2 linked regions of the Saccharomyces cerevisiae S288C genome follow. The protein of the gene in region 1 interacts with the protein of each later gene in a biochemical or structural test. Each region holds a gene or a part of one and is shown in the gene's direction. Other genes may lie near its edges.

Region 1 (4,873 bases):
TCACTAGGGACACCAGTGATGACCACATCTGAATCAAGAGAACACTTTTTCAACAGATCTTCAGAGTACTCCCCAAGGTCTTCCACATGATGCTTGTTTAATTTCAAACTTTCACCACGGGTGAATTTTTGAATGTTGTTAACGTCCACAGAGTATACTGTGGCACCGTCATTGGCTAATAGCGCCGCCAGTGGTCTACCGACGATTTCTGACCTGTTAATTACTATGCATTTCTTCCCATACAGTCTGTTTCCTTCTGGTAACAAATTGTTGTAAATTTTCAAGAATTCCAATATCTTAACGATAGCTAGTGGTGTGCAAGGTAGAATGGATTTCAAACGGTTTTCTTTGTCCAGGTATCTGACATTATGGTACAGGTTTTGGTAGTAAACATGATTTAACCCTTCTACATCTTTTTCCTTGCACACAACCTGTTGCAAATACTGATCTTGAGCATTACCGAAAACAGGAAAGTATACCATGATACCGTTCACAGAGTCATCGCCGTTAGCTTGTATTATCGCTTCTTCCAAAAAATCCTTATCTTCAATGACCCTTAAGTCATAGCGGAACCCCATTGACTCGCTAGTCTTTTGAGTCCATGTAGCATACATCTTTGCAGCAGGATCATTATTAGCTAGGAATCCCACAAGAAGGGGACCTTGACCATTATGTGTCTTCTTGTATTCCTCTACGTTGTTAATTATTTCGGTATTGAAAGTTTCGGCGACCTTGCTTGCTAAAATAGTACGACCAGGCTTCGACATTTCTCTATAGATTTATATTGATGGGTTGTGTTGATAGGAATTAATTTTACTGTGCTTTGCGATACTGTACACTTGAATAGACAAGGAGGTATTGTATCTCAGCCCAAGAAGAAGCTGGTTGCAAGGCACTTAAATACTTTGCGTAGTTGCTTTTTTTCCTTTTCTACTGAGTCAATATATCATAATAGTAAAGACAGTAATATTAGTCTTTACAACGTTGTAGAAATCTATTTACCAGTTCATTGGGAATATTAGGGCTTGTGTTGATTCGGGCTGACTCCGCCAAAAAGAGTCGCAGGGCTTTCATTTTTTGTCAGGACTTGGACTAGGAAAAGAATAAATTGTCTTGGGGTTTTTCGCAAAAAAGTAGGGCCTCTTAGGGTACCTTGGAGTAGCGAATAATGCCATAAAATATCAATTTATGGAGGTGACAGCCTGCATAAACAATATACTACAGCCTCAGTTGGGTTATTTTTTTTCGAATGCATATTTGAAATACGATGTCACTGTTCCTACGGATATCATTGTCATGCTATAAAAAAAAGAGCAACCCACTCAACAAATCAAAATTGCTGTTACAGAATGTTTGCTAGGCCATTGTAATGGGGTTGCGGTATTCCTGGTTGCATTAATATCGCCCACTGATATCTCAAACGAGGACGTAGCGTTTCTACATAGTAACTGCTCGGTATTTCAGAACACTTACCCGCAGTGAAAAAAATTTTTGGGCATCGCATAATCTATAACTGACGTAAAGGGAAGACATAATTAGCATCCTAAACCTTGTCTTGGGCCCTTTTTCGGCAGTTCATACCACCTTTTAATGATTCTGTCTAGGTGGTTGTTTTTTGCCTCCTTTTCTCTCTCTAAAATACCCGAAAGGATATAGAGCGGCAGTGAAATAATCTTCCTCAAGCATAATTCAAACTGTCGAATATACTACTAAATAGTCATTCACACTTGAAATCCTTCTCATCTGCATTTTCCCATTTGGTCAGGAGGTATAAATCATACAGAAAGGGACCTAAAAAGCAACAGACTAATAGAACGACCACCCGCAAAGAAAAGAGTCCTGGAAGGTTTTCAACGATGTTCACATTTATACCCATCACCCATCCTACATCGGATACAAAGCACCCATTGCTGCTAGTCCAGTCTGCACATGGGGAAAAGTATTTCTTCGGTAAAATTGGTGAAGGATCCCAAAGGAGTCTGACTGAAAATAAGATCAGGATATCCAAATTGAAGGATATTTTCCTTACTGGTGAATTAAACTGGTCAGATATAGGTGGATTACCTGGAATGATTTTGACTATTGCTGATCAAGGGAAAAGTAATCTTGTTTTGCATTACGGCAATGACATTTTGAATTACATAGTTTCCACTTGGAGATACTTCGTCTTTAGATTCGGAATAGACTTGAACGATCACATTATGAAAGACAAGGAAGTATATAAAGATAAGATAATAGCTGTTAAATCCTTTAATGTTCTGAAAAATGGGGGGGAAGACAGGTTAGGCGTCTTCGATAGTTTTCAAAAAGGTGTATTACGTTCCATAGTAGCAAAAATGTTCCCCAAACATGCACCCACCGATAGGTACGATCCTTCTAGTGATCCGCACTTGAATGTAGAGTTGCCTGACTTAGACGCCAAAGTGGAAGTTTCTACGAATTACGAGATTTCATTCAGTCCAGTGAGGGGTAAATTTAAAGTGGAGGAAGCTATTAAACTAGGTGTTCCGAAGGGTCCCTTATTTGCAAAGTTAACCAAGGGCCAAACAATTACTTTGGATAACGGTATTGTTGTAACTCCGGAACAGGTATTGGAGAATGAACGTCATTTTGCCAAAGTATTGATCCTGGATATCCCAGATGACCTATATTTGAACGCTTTCGTAGAAAAATTCAAGGATTATGATTGTGCTGAGCTTGGCATGGTGTATTATTTTCTTGGTGATGAGGTTACCATTAATGATAATCTATTCGCGTTCATTGACATATTTGAGAAAAACAATTATGGTAAAGTAAATCATATGATATCCCACAATAAAATTTCTCCAAACACGATATCATTTTTCGGTTCTGCATTGACCACATTGAAATTAAAGGCACTACAAGTAAATAATTACAATTTACCAAAAACAGATCGTGTGTTTTCCAAGGACTTCTACGACAGATTCGATACACCACTCAGCAGAGGTACATCTATGTGTAAATCCCAGGAAGAGCCTTTGAATACAATAATAGAGAAGGATAACATTCATATTTTTTCACAAAACAAGACAGTAACTTTCGAACCATTTCGGATGAACGAAGAACCGATGAAATGCAACATCAACGGTGAAGTGGCGGATTTCTCGTGGCAAGAAATTTTCGAAGAACATGTAAAACCATTAGAATTTCCCTTAGCTGATGTCGATACAGTTATCAATAATCAACTACACGTGGATAACTTTAACAATTCAGCAGAAAAGAAGAAACACGTTGAAATTATCACCTTAGGAACCGGTAGTGCATTGCCTTCTAAATATAGAAACGTTGTCTCCACACTTGTTAAAGTTCCTTTTACTGACGCCGATGGAAATACCATAAATAGAAACATTATGCTAGATGCTGGTGAAAATACTTTAGGTACCATACACAGGATGTTTTCTCAGCTAGCAGTCAAGTCAATATTTCAGGATTTGAAAATGATATATCTGAGTCACTTGCATGCAGACCACCATTTGGGAATAATCAGCGTGCTAAATGAATGGTACAAATATAACAAGGATGATGAAACGAGTTATATATATGTGGTTACTCCATGGCAATATCACAAATTTGTTAATGAATGGTTAGTTCTAGAAAATAAAGAGATTTTAAAGAGAATCAAATACATAAGTTGTGAGCATTTCATCAATGATTCGTTTGTAAGAATGCAGACACAATCTGTTCCTTTGGCAGAGTTCAATGAAATATTGAAAGAAAATAGCAATCAAGAATCAAACAGAAAACTGGAACTGGATAGAGATTCTTCATATAGGGATGTTGACTTGATCAGACAAATGTATGAGGATTTATCGATAGAATATTTTCAAACTTGCAGAGCTATACATTGTGACTGGGCATATTCGAACTCAATTACCTTCCGAATGGACGAAAACAATGAGCATAATACATTCAAGGTTTCATATTCAGGCGATACAAGACCTAACATCGAGAAATTTTCCCTCGAAATAGGCTATAATTCAGATCTATTAATTCACGAAGCTACACTAGAAAATCAGCTACTGGAGGATGCCGTGAAGAAAAAACACTGCACTATTAATGAAGCAATCGGTGTTTCGAACAAAATGAATGCTAGGAAGTTGATCTTAACACACTTTTCCCAGAGATATCCCAAATTGCCCCAATTAGACAATAATATTGATGTGATGGCGAGAGAATTTTGTTTTGCTTTCGACAGTATGATCGTTGATTATGAGAAAATTGGTGAACAGCAGCGTATTTTTCCACTGCTGAATAAGGCATTTGTTGAAGAAAAGGAAGAAGAAGAAGATGTTGATGACGTTGAAAGCGTACAAGATTTGGAAGTCAAACTTAAGAAACACAAGAAAAATTAGTATAATTCATCTTAACTTCTTATATTGTTGCTTTTTCAGTAGTAAATTATCTTCTTTAATTACGTTATTATGTACATATTCATTGGCTTATGTGCTCATCTGGTACAAAGTCTTGCCATAATTGTAAATAGTGTTTCTTTTCATCCATGTTCAAATCTCTTATTGATTTTAAACAACTATTAACCTCGGCGGCTTCTCTCTTCTCAAATTCTTTCCGTTCATTTAAGATATCTTCCATAATTTTCTCCCAGCTCTGCTTAACACGGTTATATCTTTTTAATACAATGCGGTATTCATCCTCTGCCGTGCGTATCTTAAGGTCTTCATTGTTACTGTTGTTGTTTCCCGGAGATAGTTTGTCAAGAAAGTTTTTCTTCTTGTCTAGATCCACTTCTATGATGCTTAGAATTTTACCAAGCTTCAATCTTTGATTTAAGATGGATTCAAATGATTCGCAAAATCTTACATTTTCATCAAATAATATGATTAGCTTCAGAATG
Region 2 (13,002 bases), on another chromosome or scaffold:
TATAGAGACCATATATTCTAGATTTACCGAAGGTGAAATAGGTGTTTATGGTTTTGCAAACGACGAAACTCGTATCTTTACCGCAAAATCTTTAGCGGAGATATTATTTGATTATTACTTTTCTAAAAATATTTTAACTCTACAAGAAGTATGGTCCATCTACGTTAAGATATTCTTAAACTGTGATACACGAGACGTGGAAAGTGGTTGCTTCGAATCTATTATTCATTTGATAAACTTGAATTTATTAGCTGACAACACTTTTTTGAGTAACTCAAAATATTTGGATATAGTTCTCTCTTTAAGCGGCGTCTTCAGCAGTTACGAAGTGAATAATAGGAGCATGAATACATTATCAAGGTATTTGAGATACTTTCAACATATGCATGAAGTAATATTGCCACATTTGAATGATTCTGCAAAGACTCAAATGTTGTACTACATCCTAGGTTGTTCTGATACTTACCAGAGCTCCTCTAAAAGTGATTCAGCTTCAAATTTCAAATATAGTATTGATGCGAAGCCTGAAACACAGTGGCTTACATTACTGCAGCTTGACTTCACGTATGTGTTAATCAGCGACTTAGGTTCTACTTTCACCACTGAGGAAAATACCGTTAAAGAGATTAGAGATAAACTGGTTGATTTAGCTACATGTGAAATCTTTACGATACGAGTTCACACTGTGGAAATTTTGAAGGTTTTTTTGAACAACTGTCCAGAATATCTTTCGGAGACCATTGAAAACTCCTTACGTGCACTATCCACTGATTTTAAATCTACAGGAAAATTTATTTTTCATAAAAATCATGGCCATGCTTTTATAATAGCAAATCTAATCAAAGGTGCCGAGAGCGATTATATTTCCTATGAGTTGATCATGAGAATTACAGTGTTTTCTACATCATTCATTAAGAATAATACTACATCTACCTCTTCTAATTTGTACTTCAAGGGTCTTTTATGCTGGATATTATTGATAGGATTGATGAATTATAAAGATGAACAGTATTTGAAGCTGCAGATACCCCAACTATTTCTTTTCTGGAAAGTTTTATTAACACATACCTACACATACCACGACGAGGATGAATTATACAAGAACCTAGAAATCCGAAATCATGCATTGACTTGTTTATTGACGTATTTAAGCAATACGACAATTGATAAAGAAATGGCTAAACAAGTATCATATTTGCTAACTAAGTGCTCCAATTTTAATCATTCCATTGACCTGAAATCGAAAAACATTGACAATGCTTTACTGCATAATGAAAACAGAATTTTACAGGTATACCTTAAGCTGGAGAAATACATAAATAGCGATTTTAATAGTTCTTTACTAATATTAATCGTGAAGAATTTTTCAGATCCCAATCTTTACACCGAGTCAAGTAGTTCCGTTTTGGGAAGCTTGAAAGATATTGGTAACAGGAAAGTGAGTAACAAGGACGACATGGAAAGTAATATAGTATTAGAATCTTCAATTAATACTTTACTTCGTCAAAACAACGGCTTTGCATTCGGCCTATCCAGCAAAATAACTGGGGACCGTATCGTGAATTTATCGATGTCCAGTGCTTACAAGTATGATGAATCAATAAGTGGAAGTTGGCCATCCAAGGATTACAATTGGTACAATATTTTCGAAGTAGAAGTATCAAAACCAATTTCACCCATTTTATCTTTAGATTCACTGATTCTACTATATGGATCTGGGTCTTATTCCCAAATTGACCGCTACGCACCTCAGGTCACTACATCTTTAATCGACTCTTCTATGGAACTTTTTTCATCTGTATTCCCTTTTTTGAATAGCAAAATACAGTATTCCATTATGGAAACTTTAAATTTGTCCATGTTCTCCAAAATGACTACACCATTGAGAAGCGTGGCTGTGGCTGCTAATGTTTGTAGTGCTCTGCATAATGCTTTACGCATCATGCAAGAAAACAATCTAGAGTTGGACTATTCAGTGGGGCAGCTAATTATCGAATCAATAAAGAAGATTCAGTTTTTTAATGACATTTTTCTCACAAAAATCAAGGCAGATTGTGTAGGATTGCTGACAGCGGCTATCGCAAGAACACTTGGCGATGAAGAAAGACAAAAATTCCTTACAGAGCAATCAAGAATATTCATTAAAAACGTCGCAGATATGGACGAACCATACTTAAGGATGTTTCATGTCTTATCATTGGCTACAATTTTTAAATATAACTCACAATATGCTAATTTTGAAGAATACTTTGATGTAATTTTTGCATTAATGAGGGATCCACACCCTGTTGTTCATTCATGGTCATTGAAAGCAATGCATATTCTTCTTGAGAAACATTTAGTGATTGATTTAAAGACGGCAGCTCTGTTGCTAAGTTCTATGGAAGAGCTTTTGGTCCAGGATAAGTATGGTATTTACGGACGCTCTACTCTTCGCTGTAACTATAATAGGGACTTTAATTCTCACGTAGCAATCGGTGAAATTTCAAGGACATTGACTGAAACTGTGGGGCCAAATTTTCTAGAACTTAACACCAAGGTTCTTGATTCGTTCAGAAACATTACACTCTCCATGTTAATTTCAAATAATATTCTCAACAGCATAACCAGCATTAAAATGTTTGAAAACATAGCTACTTTTAAAATGAAAAACATTCTAAACTATGAAATCTTTATTCTTGCTTCTAAGAGCATAATTAAAAGTTCAATAGTGACTGGAATAGGCTCATCATATTTTGACACTACATTCACGGGCTCAAATGAACTCATTTCTCGAACTTCAAGTCTGAAAGGCGCCTTTGAAAACTTTGATTTATTGACGTTGTTGTACAAATTACAGATGGAGGAATTTTTCATGAAAGAAATGGAAAATTTGAGCTGGAGATATCTCGCACTTTTTCCAAATTCCGGTTCTGTCAAGAATTATTTTACCGAATGGATATTACATACTTTCAAAAGAGATAATCATTGGTTCGATAAATTATACTCAATATTTAATATGAGTTTAGGAAGACTCTTCCAAAGCTATAACAGAGACGTTTCAGCCCTACTAGAGGTAAATGGCCTAAAAAAATCTTCAGAAAAGGAAATTAAAGGCGAAGAAGAAGAATCAATAGCGAATGTTAACCAACTGACTGACACAGATGCTGGTGGTCTCGACTCTGAGAACCTGCAATGGAAGAGCAGACAGATTATCTTAAATTTAATATTAATGTTGTGCTTAGAATCCGAAAAATATGAAAATCTGCTCCTTGCCCTCAGCAACAAAATTGCAGATCTCATTAAAATATCATTTCGTGGATCTACAGTGAGGAATGAAGGCATGAAGTTAACGGGACTACACATTTTGAATTTTGTTCTCAAGAACTACTCCACCATGAGAGATCCTCAGGTTCCTGGATCGTCGATTTTAGAACAGCAAGAGGCCCAAATAACTAGCGCATTAATGCCTGCTTTTAGTAAAGGAAGCTCACCTACTGTAATGTCCTTTGCTATTACTGTTGCTGCTGAAGTGTTGGCATCGAATATAATGCCACCAGATAAATTGGGAAGAATTTCACAATTACTAATTGACCTTCTTGGTAACTTTAAAGATCCTAATTCCGGTATACGGATAGGGGAAGCTATAATCGTTACACCCAAAGCGAAAAGAAAAATTGAACTTGCCGTTTTGGATGCGTGGGCTGAGGTAGTGCAAAGATCCATCACGTCGTCAAATGATGCGCTTTTCTCTTTTACCAGGAAATATTGGAGCATTTTAGTCCCATTATGGATCATTTCTTTACGTGAATACATGATGATAAAGTATAACGATAATGATTCTACTGTGCAAGTAAAGAATGACTCGAAAGAAAATAGTCTCATTGAACCAAGAAGTACGAAAATTGAGTTATATGAACCGGTCTGGTTAAATTTCGTAGAGGCCCTTGGGTGCACTCTGGATTCAGACGTTCAAGTCATTTTGGCATCTCTTAACGATGAGGAATTAGAGTATTTTCTTTTTATTTTATTTAGCCAATGTTTGGAGGCTATCGTCAAAAATATTGATGATCATTCAGTCAAGATGCAAGTTTTACCGGCTTTACACAATGTTTTGAAGAGCAATCTGTGCATAAAAAGTATATTTGAGGATGATATTATTACTGAAGTTGTTGAGATTATGGACAGACTGATTTCTACAGGCGACAGTAAAGAAGAATTTTTGCTTGTTGATATCATCAGTGACTTGATCATTGGGTATTCGAAGTGTAATGCTACTCCTGAAACATTTCTACAAGATATTGACAAACTATATGAGCTACTGCGACTACTGATGACAATTATTTCTGAGAGGTTGCCATTTATTAAGTATAACGTGCTTACCAGCGAAGAAGATGATAATGAAATAAAAATCTCTCCCACAGATATTAGTCTGTTGAAAAAAACATTTATTGCGTTCGAATCAAATATCAGTAACTTCGACAATATGTTCAAAGTAGATCTTTATTCATGTCTTTTATTCATCATAGGGAAAATTTATGAATGTAGTCATCGTGAAGTAATAATTCCAATCATACTCCCACTTTTCAAGGCACTAGTAAAAGCGCTTACGGAATCTGAGGACGAAAAAAATATTGTGTTACTAGAAATATTCTACGGGTCAATAAAAGATGTTATTTATCATAAGCTGGATTCAAAGAATAAAGTTGCAACCATTTTGATCTTGCTGTCTAATGGATACTCTAAGCTAAGTTTTCAGGAACTGAATCAGTGCGCAAATATTCTCTCGGAGGCATTGAATAATCCTGCTACGCAGCCAATTGCTCTACAAGGCTTCAAGAGAATAATATCTAATATTTTCAAATACCCGTTGTTGCAGTATTTTATGAAGTTGGTTATAAAAAGATTCTTTCAAGATATTCAAACAAACGATTCCTTATCGCAGGCAAGCATTAAAACTAAGTTGATAATTCAGTTTTCCGAGGAAGTAATCAAACAAGATCACCAAAAGGCATCATTGTCAATTGCTTTATGTCTTTCTTTCTTTGCCGCATATCATAGCGCATATACAGAGAAAATAGACAACGAAGTAGCAAGTGGCATAGTTGCTTTGGCTAAATTGGACAAAAATTCATTTAAAGAAGCCATTTCTAGCACTATAAGTCCTCAACAAAAAGCAATTATAGGTTCCGTGATGGAGGCATACGTTAAATCGCAGTCTTTGGGCTCTGTCGAAGAGGCCTTTCAACTGAAATCTTTCGACTAATTGCAAGTCGGATGCATATGCACGGAAATAAAACTCATCGCGAAAAAAGAAAAAAAAAATAAAATCTGTGAAAAAATATCAATGGTGCAATTGGTTATTGGTCACTCATCAAGTAATTTGTTAGTTTTTATAGAGTTACAATTGTATAAAGATAAGAACATTTAGTTAAGTTCCCCACTTATTAGATCCCAAAGTTAAAGTTATCATGTGCAGTAGGATACTCTTGTCCGGTTTAGTCGGACTGGGTGCTGGTACTGGCTTAACCTATCTTCTTTTGAACAAACATTCTCCAACGCAAATCATTGAGACACCTTATCCACCTACCCAGAAACCTAATAGTAATATTCAATCTCACTCTTTCAACGTCGATCCTTCCGGGTTCTTCAAGTATGGTTTTCCTGGTCCGATTCATGATCTGCAGAACCGCGAAGAGTTTATCTCATGTTACAACAGACAAACTCAAAATCCTTATTGGGTCCTCGAACATATAACGCCAGAATCATTGGCTGCAAGGAATGCTGACAGAAAAAATTCCTTTTTCAAGGAAGATGAAGTAATTCCAGAAAAGTTTAGAGGTAAACTAAGAGACTATTTTAGGTCGGGCTATGATCGAGGCCATCAAGCCCCAGCTGCAGACGCAAAATTTTCTCAACAGGCCATGGATGATACATTCTACTTATCCAATATGTGTCCTCAAGTAGGAGAAGGTTTTAATAGAGACTATTGGGCGCATTTGGAGTACTTTTGTAGGGGATTGACTAAGAAATATAAGAGTGTAAGAATCGTGACTGGTCCATTGTATCTACCCAAAAAGGATCCCATAGATAATAAATTTAGGGTTAATTATGAAGTTATTGGCAATCCACCCAGTATTGCTGTTCCAACGCACTTTTTTAAATTGATTGTTGCAGAAGCACCAACAGCCAATCCTGCTAGAGAGGATATTGCTGTCGCGGCATTTGTATTGCCAAACGAACCGATATCAAATGAGACGAAATTGACTGACTTTGAAGTTCCTATAGATGCTTTAGAGAGAAGTACTGGGCTAGAACTTCTGCAAAAAGTACCACCTTCAAAGAAGAAGGCATTATGCAAAGAGGTAAATTGTCAAATTGTAGTGAGAGATTTCTCTAACGCGGCGATCAAACAATCGAAAGATGTGAAATTGTTACCTCCTCCAAAAAAAAGGAATTGAATGTACTGAAAAACTGTAAATATAAATTAATTCATAACACAACGATAGAATAGCATGAAAGAATATAACAAGTCTAACGCATATAACATAAAATAATACATTTATTTGATGATCAAAAAAAGAAAAGAATTAGGATGCAATGCTTGGATTTAGTATATATTTACAGAAATTTGTTTTGTTATTATTTGCTTTGTTATTTATATCGTAAATGTGCGTTTGGCCGTTCATCTTAAGTAACGTTTGACAGCCGACACACCATGCTTTTTAATATCTTGTATGATCTCCTTGTTTGTTTTGAACTCTGAATTTCTAATTTGATGTTTTAAGATGAAATTCCAGTCTAACTTCAATTCCTCAATCGTCATACCGTTCTGGTATAGTTCTGCGCACGCCCAAAGAAAAATGTCTGTTCTTCCTATCTGCAGTGCGCTTAATGCAATATTCCTTAAAATAGTAAACCTGTTTTGATTATTCACTTTTAATTTGACATCACATGGGGAGGATGCAATGAATGGGTTACAGTTCGATTTTGTCCAGTATGTTTTACTTCTCTTTGCAGCATTTATATAAAGTAGTTTTGCCAAATCGATATCCTTCTTGGCATTGGCAACAAATTTACCATCTCGCTTTTTATAATGACAAAGTTTTTTAATGTATAAAGCGGAAACCACATTCCAAAGAGAGTTTCTGTGGTCAGGATCAAAATCATGTGCCTTCGTCAACAAATCGTTTACAAGTGCCATCAAATTATCGGTGAACTTGACCTTTGAAGCCAATTTCCAATCAACTACTTCGTTAATTATTGACCCATAGGCTAACATTGCTTGTCCGGGGGGTATAGTATCGAGTAATTTGACTGCCTTAGCGATATGATCGAGGTTTTGTGTTTTGAAAAGGTGAATAATTATTGCTTGATAATTTTCTTGCGAAAGCGCCCTGAAATTTGTTGTTATTTGCTTCAAAACCCTATCTACACCGTTAGAATCGTTAAATTTCAAATGCATTCTTAGCAATGAAGAAAGACATCTCTTGTTAAGCCAGACAATATGATGGTTTTCGGGTAAAGTGTATCTGTTAATGTTCTGCATGAGTTCCTTGGCCATTGTTAAAGAGTCTTGCTTTGTAATGAAGTCAATAATTGCCGGTAATATCAAAGGGTTATTACAATAGTACTCTGGAGTTAATTGCCAAAACATTTCGCTACATATAGATCTATAGGCTCTATTATGGGTACAAATCTTGAAGACTTTATAAATGATTCTGGAATCATGTGCAGAAATGGAAACATAGTGCTCTTTGATTTTGTTCCAAATAGAATACACACTTGCAACATTTCCTCTTCTATAATTTTCATCAATGGACTTGTACGCAAGCAGCACTTGATCATCCCGAAGCTTCAAATCGTTAGTCAAAGAATAGTTTATATTCATCAGTTTGTTCAGTATAGCCTTGCATAATTGCGGGGCTTCATTACTTAAGCCGAGGGCCTTATTAGAAAGAGTTTCTAATTGAAACCTCGTTAACTTTATTCCGCCTCCGGTTATACTTTCGAACAGAGAGTTCAGTTGTAAATATTTGACTAGATGAACATGATCATGCAGTGGGTTTGGGTACGCTAATACTGATATTATTTTCTTAGCATATTGTTCGTCTAGCTTTTTATCATCTGTAAATAATCTGTAGTACAGCAGGAAAAGGTCGGCAGCCATAACTATGTCTCCTGTGCCGATGGCATCATCAACACACCAGCGCATAGTATCCAATTGCGTAGTCAAGGGCTTTTGATGTCTTACGGATGAAACTTGGGAGACCACTTGATTGACTAGATCCAAGTTTTTCTTGCATTGGTACAAACATTCTCTTCTATAAATTCCTCTTGTAGTCATAGATGAGGTTTTTGTGCGATTGATGAAACTGATGAAATCTTCGATCTTGACCTCGTGTAATATAGAGCTTTCCAGTAAGCTATTTTCTTGTTTCCGAAGACTTTTGTAGTCCGCCATGTCAGACCAATATTTCCGTATTTTCAACTTGTCATTGTCATTTAAATTCGCATTTGCTTTGATAAGGGCCAAGACCTGTTTTTGAATTGGATCCCTGCTGCTGTGGTTGATTCGTCGCAAGGTCCTGGTAGGTACCATTTTTATAAACCTCTCGGTCCTGTACCGAACGAGACGAGGTAAAAACATTGCATGGAAAGGGAAACGTGCAAAATGCAAACTACTGCTATCCTAAAGTGCTCACTGTTTATTATTACTGGATTTCAGACGTCGCTTCCCACATCGTCCCGTACAGCGTTCCATGATGATATTATACCACTTCTTTATTGTTTCTTTTTTTTCTTGAGCAGAAAGTGAAAAAAAAAAAACCAGACCCTTTACCACGTGACCGATTTTGACAACATGAATATGAATATAGTATACACATATATAGAGATACAAGCGAGGGAACGGGGCCCTTTAGTACACTGGTGAGGCGGTCAGTCTCCCAGAGGATCCACAGGCATCGCACATAGACCACTCCAACGCCTTTACAACGCACACGTAACAGTAGTTCGCACGACAACAAGCGATCTGGTATGGGTTGGTTGGAAAACCGCCGCAACGGGGGCAAACTGTCTTATAAGTAGTCGTAGAACGAGACCTTGGTGGTTTTTTAACAAAGGTCAAGAGTCCTCTTTTCGTAAGTAGTGTATTGGAAAAGAGTTCTAATAGTGCATTCCATAGCAATTGTCTATTCTGGTATTCTAACCCAGCGAATACAGAGTTCGAATAAAATTCAGAGGCAATTGCAGAACCATCCCGAATCAACCTTGTGGAATGGACATTAAAAGCCCGGTATAACGGCGACAAAAACGCCCTCGCATTGGGCCCTTCCGCTGCTAGAAACCTCAGGAAGTTGGTTACATCACAGCCGTGATACAATAAATTAACCCATTTGTACAGCTTCAGCCACATCATCTGGTTCCCACAGTGCGGCCCATTAAAAATAATATGTGTGATCTTCTTCCACACGTACCCTGCCAAGACAGTGACGACATACAAGGTGCGTTTCCTGCACTGAAAAACCACGCCACTGAGTGCGGATCCATACGTACAGCTAGAGCCATAGTGTGGCAGGAACCTCGTCGCGCACATAAACACAACTGTGTTCAGTGCCAACTCCCATTCCTCTTTGTGTTCACTCGTATTGAATGCTGCATTGAACTCGGACCAAAACTGTCCATACAATTCTTTATCAAGCGCTATCGAGTCGAGCTGTGCAACTCGAGACATGCTGCGTTGCCTTTAGATTACGTCTTCTCAGTTATCTCGGCAATCTCTCCTCGTTATGCTTTCCCTCCGTCTTCACTCATCCCTTATAATGCGTTTCCCAGCAACCTTATCGATAGAATGGAGGGGAAATCGCATCCGTTCCACTCCTCGGATCGATACTAACTTCCGAGACGTTGCATCAAAGGCCAAGACATGGCATTAGTCACCCTTGTTGCAACGATAGACGCATACTACGGACCCCTCAAACCTCCCTACCTGCCCGTCGCTATCGCATTAATTTTCTTTTTTTCCACTATTTTTCCGGCCCGCCACACCTCCGACTACAAGACGCCACATCTACGTTTTGTCACACAAAATCCAGGACAATAGCCGTCTGCAAGGCACCAAGGTTTTCAGCAGTTGCTTGTTGCTGCTGCCTGTTAATCACATCAAACCCACTGCAAGGGCAGTCGATGGGTCTGTAAACGCCTTAGCAATCGTTGTTGAAGAAAGAGAGCTCTTATCATCATGGGGTGCCCATCATTTTTCTTTTTTTTTCAAATTTTGGGCTATTCAATGAATTGTTTCGACTATATATGGACAATCATCGGAAGCTGTGTATTCTTGGTAAAAAGTTTTCGACTGTGTGGCAGAAAATAACCGCAACAATTATATAACGTCACAGAACACATGAGTACCATTTATAGGGAGAGCGACTCGTTGGAGTCGGAGCCCTCGCCAACGCCAACAACCATTCCTATCCAGATCAATATGGAAGAGGAAAAGAAAGATGCTTTCGTTAAGAATATTGACGAGGACGTCAATAATCTCACTGCGACTACTGATGAGGAGGACCGCGATCCGGAAAGCCAAAAATTCGACAGGCATTCCATACAGGAGGAAGGTCTCGTTTGGAAGGGCGACCCTACATACTTGCCCAATTCTCCATATCCTGAAGTGAGATCGGCGGTGTCCATCGAGGATGACCCCACCATCCGCCTCAACCACTGGAGAACGTGGTTCTTGACCACGGTGTTTGTGGTAGTTTTCGCCGGTGTTAATCAATTTTTTTCCCTGAGATATCCATCGCTAGAGATCAACTTCCTTGTTGCACAAGTTGTTTGCTACCCAATTGGTAGGATACTGGCTCTCTTGCCCGACTGGAAGTGTTCTAAAGTGCCATTTTTCGATTTAAACCCGGGCCCATTTACCAAAAAGGAACACGCCGTGGTCACAATTGCCGTGGCGCTTACTTCCTCTACTGCATACGCTATGTACATTTTGAACGCCCAGGGAAGCTTTTACAACATGAAACTTAATGTCGGATATCAGTTCTTGTTGGTTTGGACATCTCAAATGATTGGTTATGGTGCTGCAGGTCTTACCAGAAGATGGGTCGTCAACCCTGCAAGCTCTATCTGGCCTCAGACTTTAATTTCAGTGTCCTTGTTTGATTCGTTGCACTCGAGAAAAGTTGAAAAGACAGTCGCAAATGGTTGGACGATGCCCCGTTACAGGTTCTTCTTAATCGTCCTTATCGGATCGTTCATCTGGTATTGGGTACCTGGATTCCTCTTTACCGGTCTGTCCTATTTCAACGTTATCCTATGGGGGTCGAAGACAAGACACAATTTCATCGCTAACACAATCTTTGGTACTCAAAGTGGTCTCGGTGCGTTGCCAATTACATTTGACTACACCCAGGTTTCCCAAGCCATGTCCGGCTCTGTTTTCGCCACACCATTCTACGTCTCCGCCAACACCTATGCATCAGTGTTGATATTCTTCGTCATAGTGCTGCCATGTCTTTATTTTACGAATACCTGGTATGCCAAATACATGCCCGTCATTTCAGGTTCTACTTATGACAACACTCAAAACAAATACAACGTAACAAAGATTCTTAACGAGGATTATTCCATTAATCTTGAGAAATATAAGGAATACTCACCGGTATTCGTTCCATTTTCCTATCTTTTGTCGTATGCTTTAAATTTTGCCGCTGTTATCGCCGTTTTTGTCCACTGCATCTTATACCACGGTAAAGATATTGTCGCCAAGTTTAAAGACCGTAAAAATGGTGGCACTGACATTCACATGAGAATCTACTCCAAGAACTATAAGGATTGTCCCGATTGGTGGTATTTACTTTTGCAGATTGTCATGATCGGTTTAGGATTTGTAGCAGTGTGCTGTTTCGATACTAAGTTCCCAGCTTGGGCATTTGTTATTGCAATATTAATTTCCCTTGTAAATTTCATCCCGCAAGGTATCTTGGAAGCAATGACTAACCAACACGTAGGTTTGAATATTATCACAGAATTGATCTGCGGTTATATGCTGCCTTTAAGACCAATGGCAAACTTATTATTCAAGCTATACGGATTTATTGTCATGAGACAAGGCTTGAATTTGAGTAGAGATTTGAAATTAGCCATGTACATGAAGGTTTCCCCTCGTTTGATCTTTGCCGTTCAAATCTATGCCACTATCATATCAGGCATGGTTAACGTTGGTGTCCAGGAATGGATGATGCATAATATCGATGGCTTATGTACCACCGATCAACCAAATGGCTTCACTTGTGCTAATGGTCGCACGGTTTTCAATGCTTCCATTATCTGGTCTTTGCCAAAGTATCTTTTCTCATCAGGGCGCATTTATAATCCGCTGATGTGGTTCTTCTTGATTGGTTTGCTATTCCCACTAGCCGTTTATGCTGTTCAATGGAAATTCCCTAAATTTAAATTTGCTAAGCACATTCATACTCCTGTATTTTTCACAGGCCCAGGTAATATTCCACCAAGCACACCTTATAACTACTCATTATTTTTTGCAATGTCATTCTGCCTAAACTTGATAAGAAAAAGATGGAGAGCTTGGTTCAATAAGTACAATTTCGTCATGGGGGCCGGTGTTGAAGCAGGTGTGGCAATCTCCGTCGTCATCATCTTCTTGTGTGTACAGTACCCAGGTGGTAAGCTCAGCTGGTGGGGAAACAACGTTTGGAAAAGAACGTATGATAATGATTATAAAAAATTTTATACCTTAAAGAAAGGTGAGACATTTGGTTATGATAAATGGTGGTAATCATGAAAACATAATAATAAACCTGCAGAGGTTCATATCAAGTTTTAATTCAAAATTTGGCACACGTAATAGCAAACTTTAGTTCATATTCTGTAATATTAAGAAATTATTTTCTTTTCTGTCATCCTTTCATATTGCTTAACTTGAAATACTTTATCTCAACGTTTAATTATACTGTTAATAATGATATTTCTATATTTTAGAGCACATTTTGGTCG

Evidence for each region.
Region 2: the proteins of TRZ1 (region 1) and NUC1 form a complex in vitro, tested with the Saccharomyces cerevisiae proteins (one study listed by BioGRID).

Annotation. Positions count from the first base shown.
Region 1 is NC_001143.9:586,289-591,161, reverse strand, and holds TRZ1 (tRNase Z), read left to right. Parts: upstream 1-1,856; coding exon 1,857-4,373; downstream 4,374-4,873. Other genes in the region: MTD1 (methylenetetrahydrofolate dehydrogenase (NAD(+))), read right to left, coding at 1-767; VPS501 (sorting nexin family protein), read right to left, coding at 4,453-4,873. UniProt on the Saccharomyces cerevisiae protein: Zinc phosphodiesterase, which displays some tRNA 3'-processing endonuclease activity. Probably involved in tRNA maturation, by removing a 3'-trailer from precursor tRNA.
Region 2 is NC_001142.9:33,632-46,633, reverse strand, and holds NUC1 (ribonuclease), read left to right. Parts: upstream 1-5,450; coding exon 5,451-6,440; downstream 6,441-13,002. Other genes in the region: AP-1 complex accessory protein LAA1, read left to right, coding at 1-5,245; CBP1 (Cbp1p), read right to left, coding at 6,665-8,629; PEX2 (ubiquitin-protein ligase peroxin 2), read right to left, coding at 8,900-9,715; oligopeptide transporter OPT1, read left to right, coding at 10,385-12,784. UniProt on the Saccharomyces cerevisiae protein: This enzyme has both RNase and DNase activity.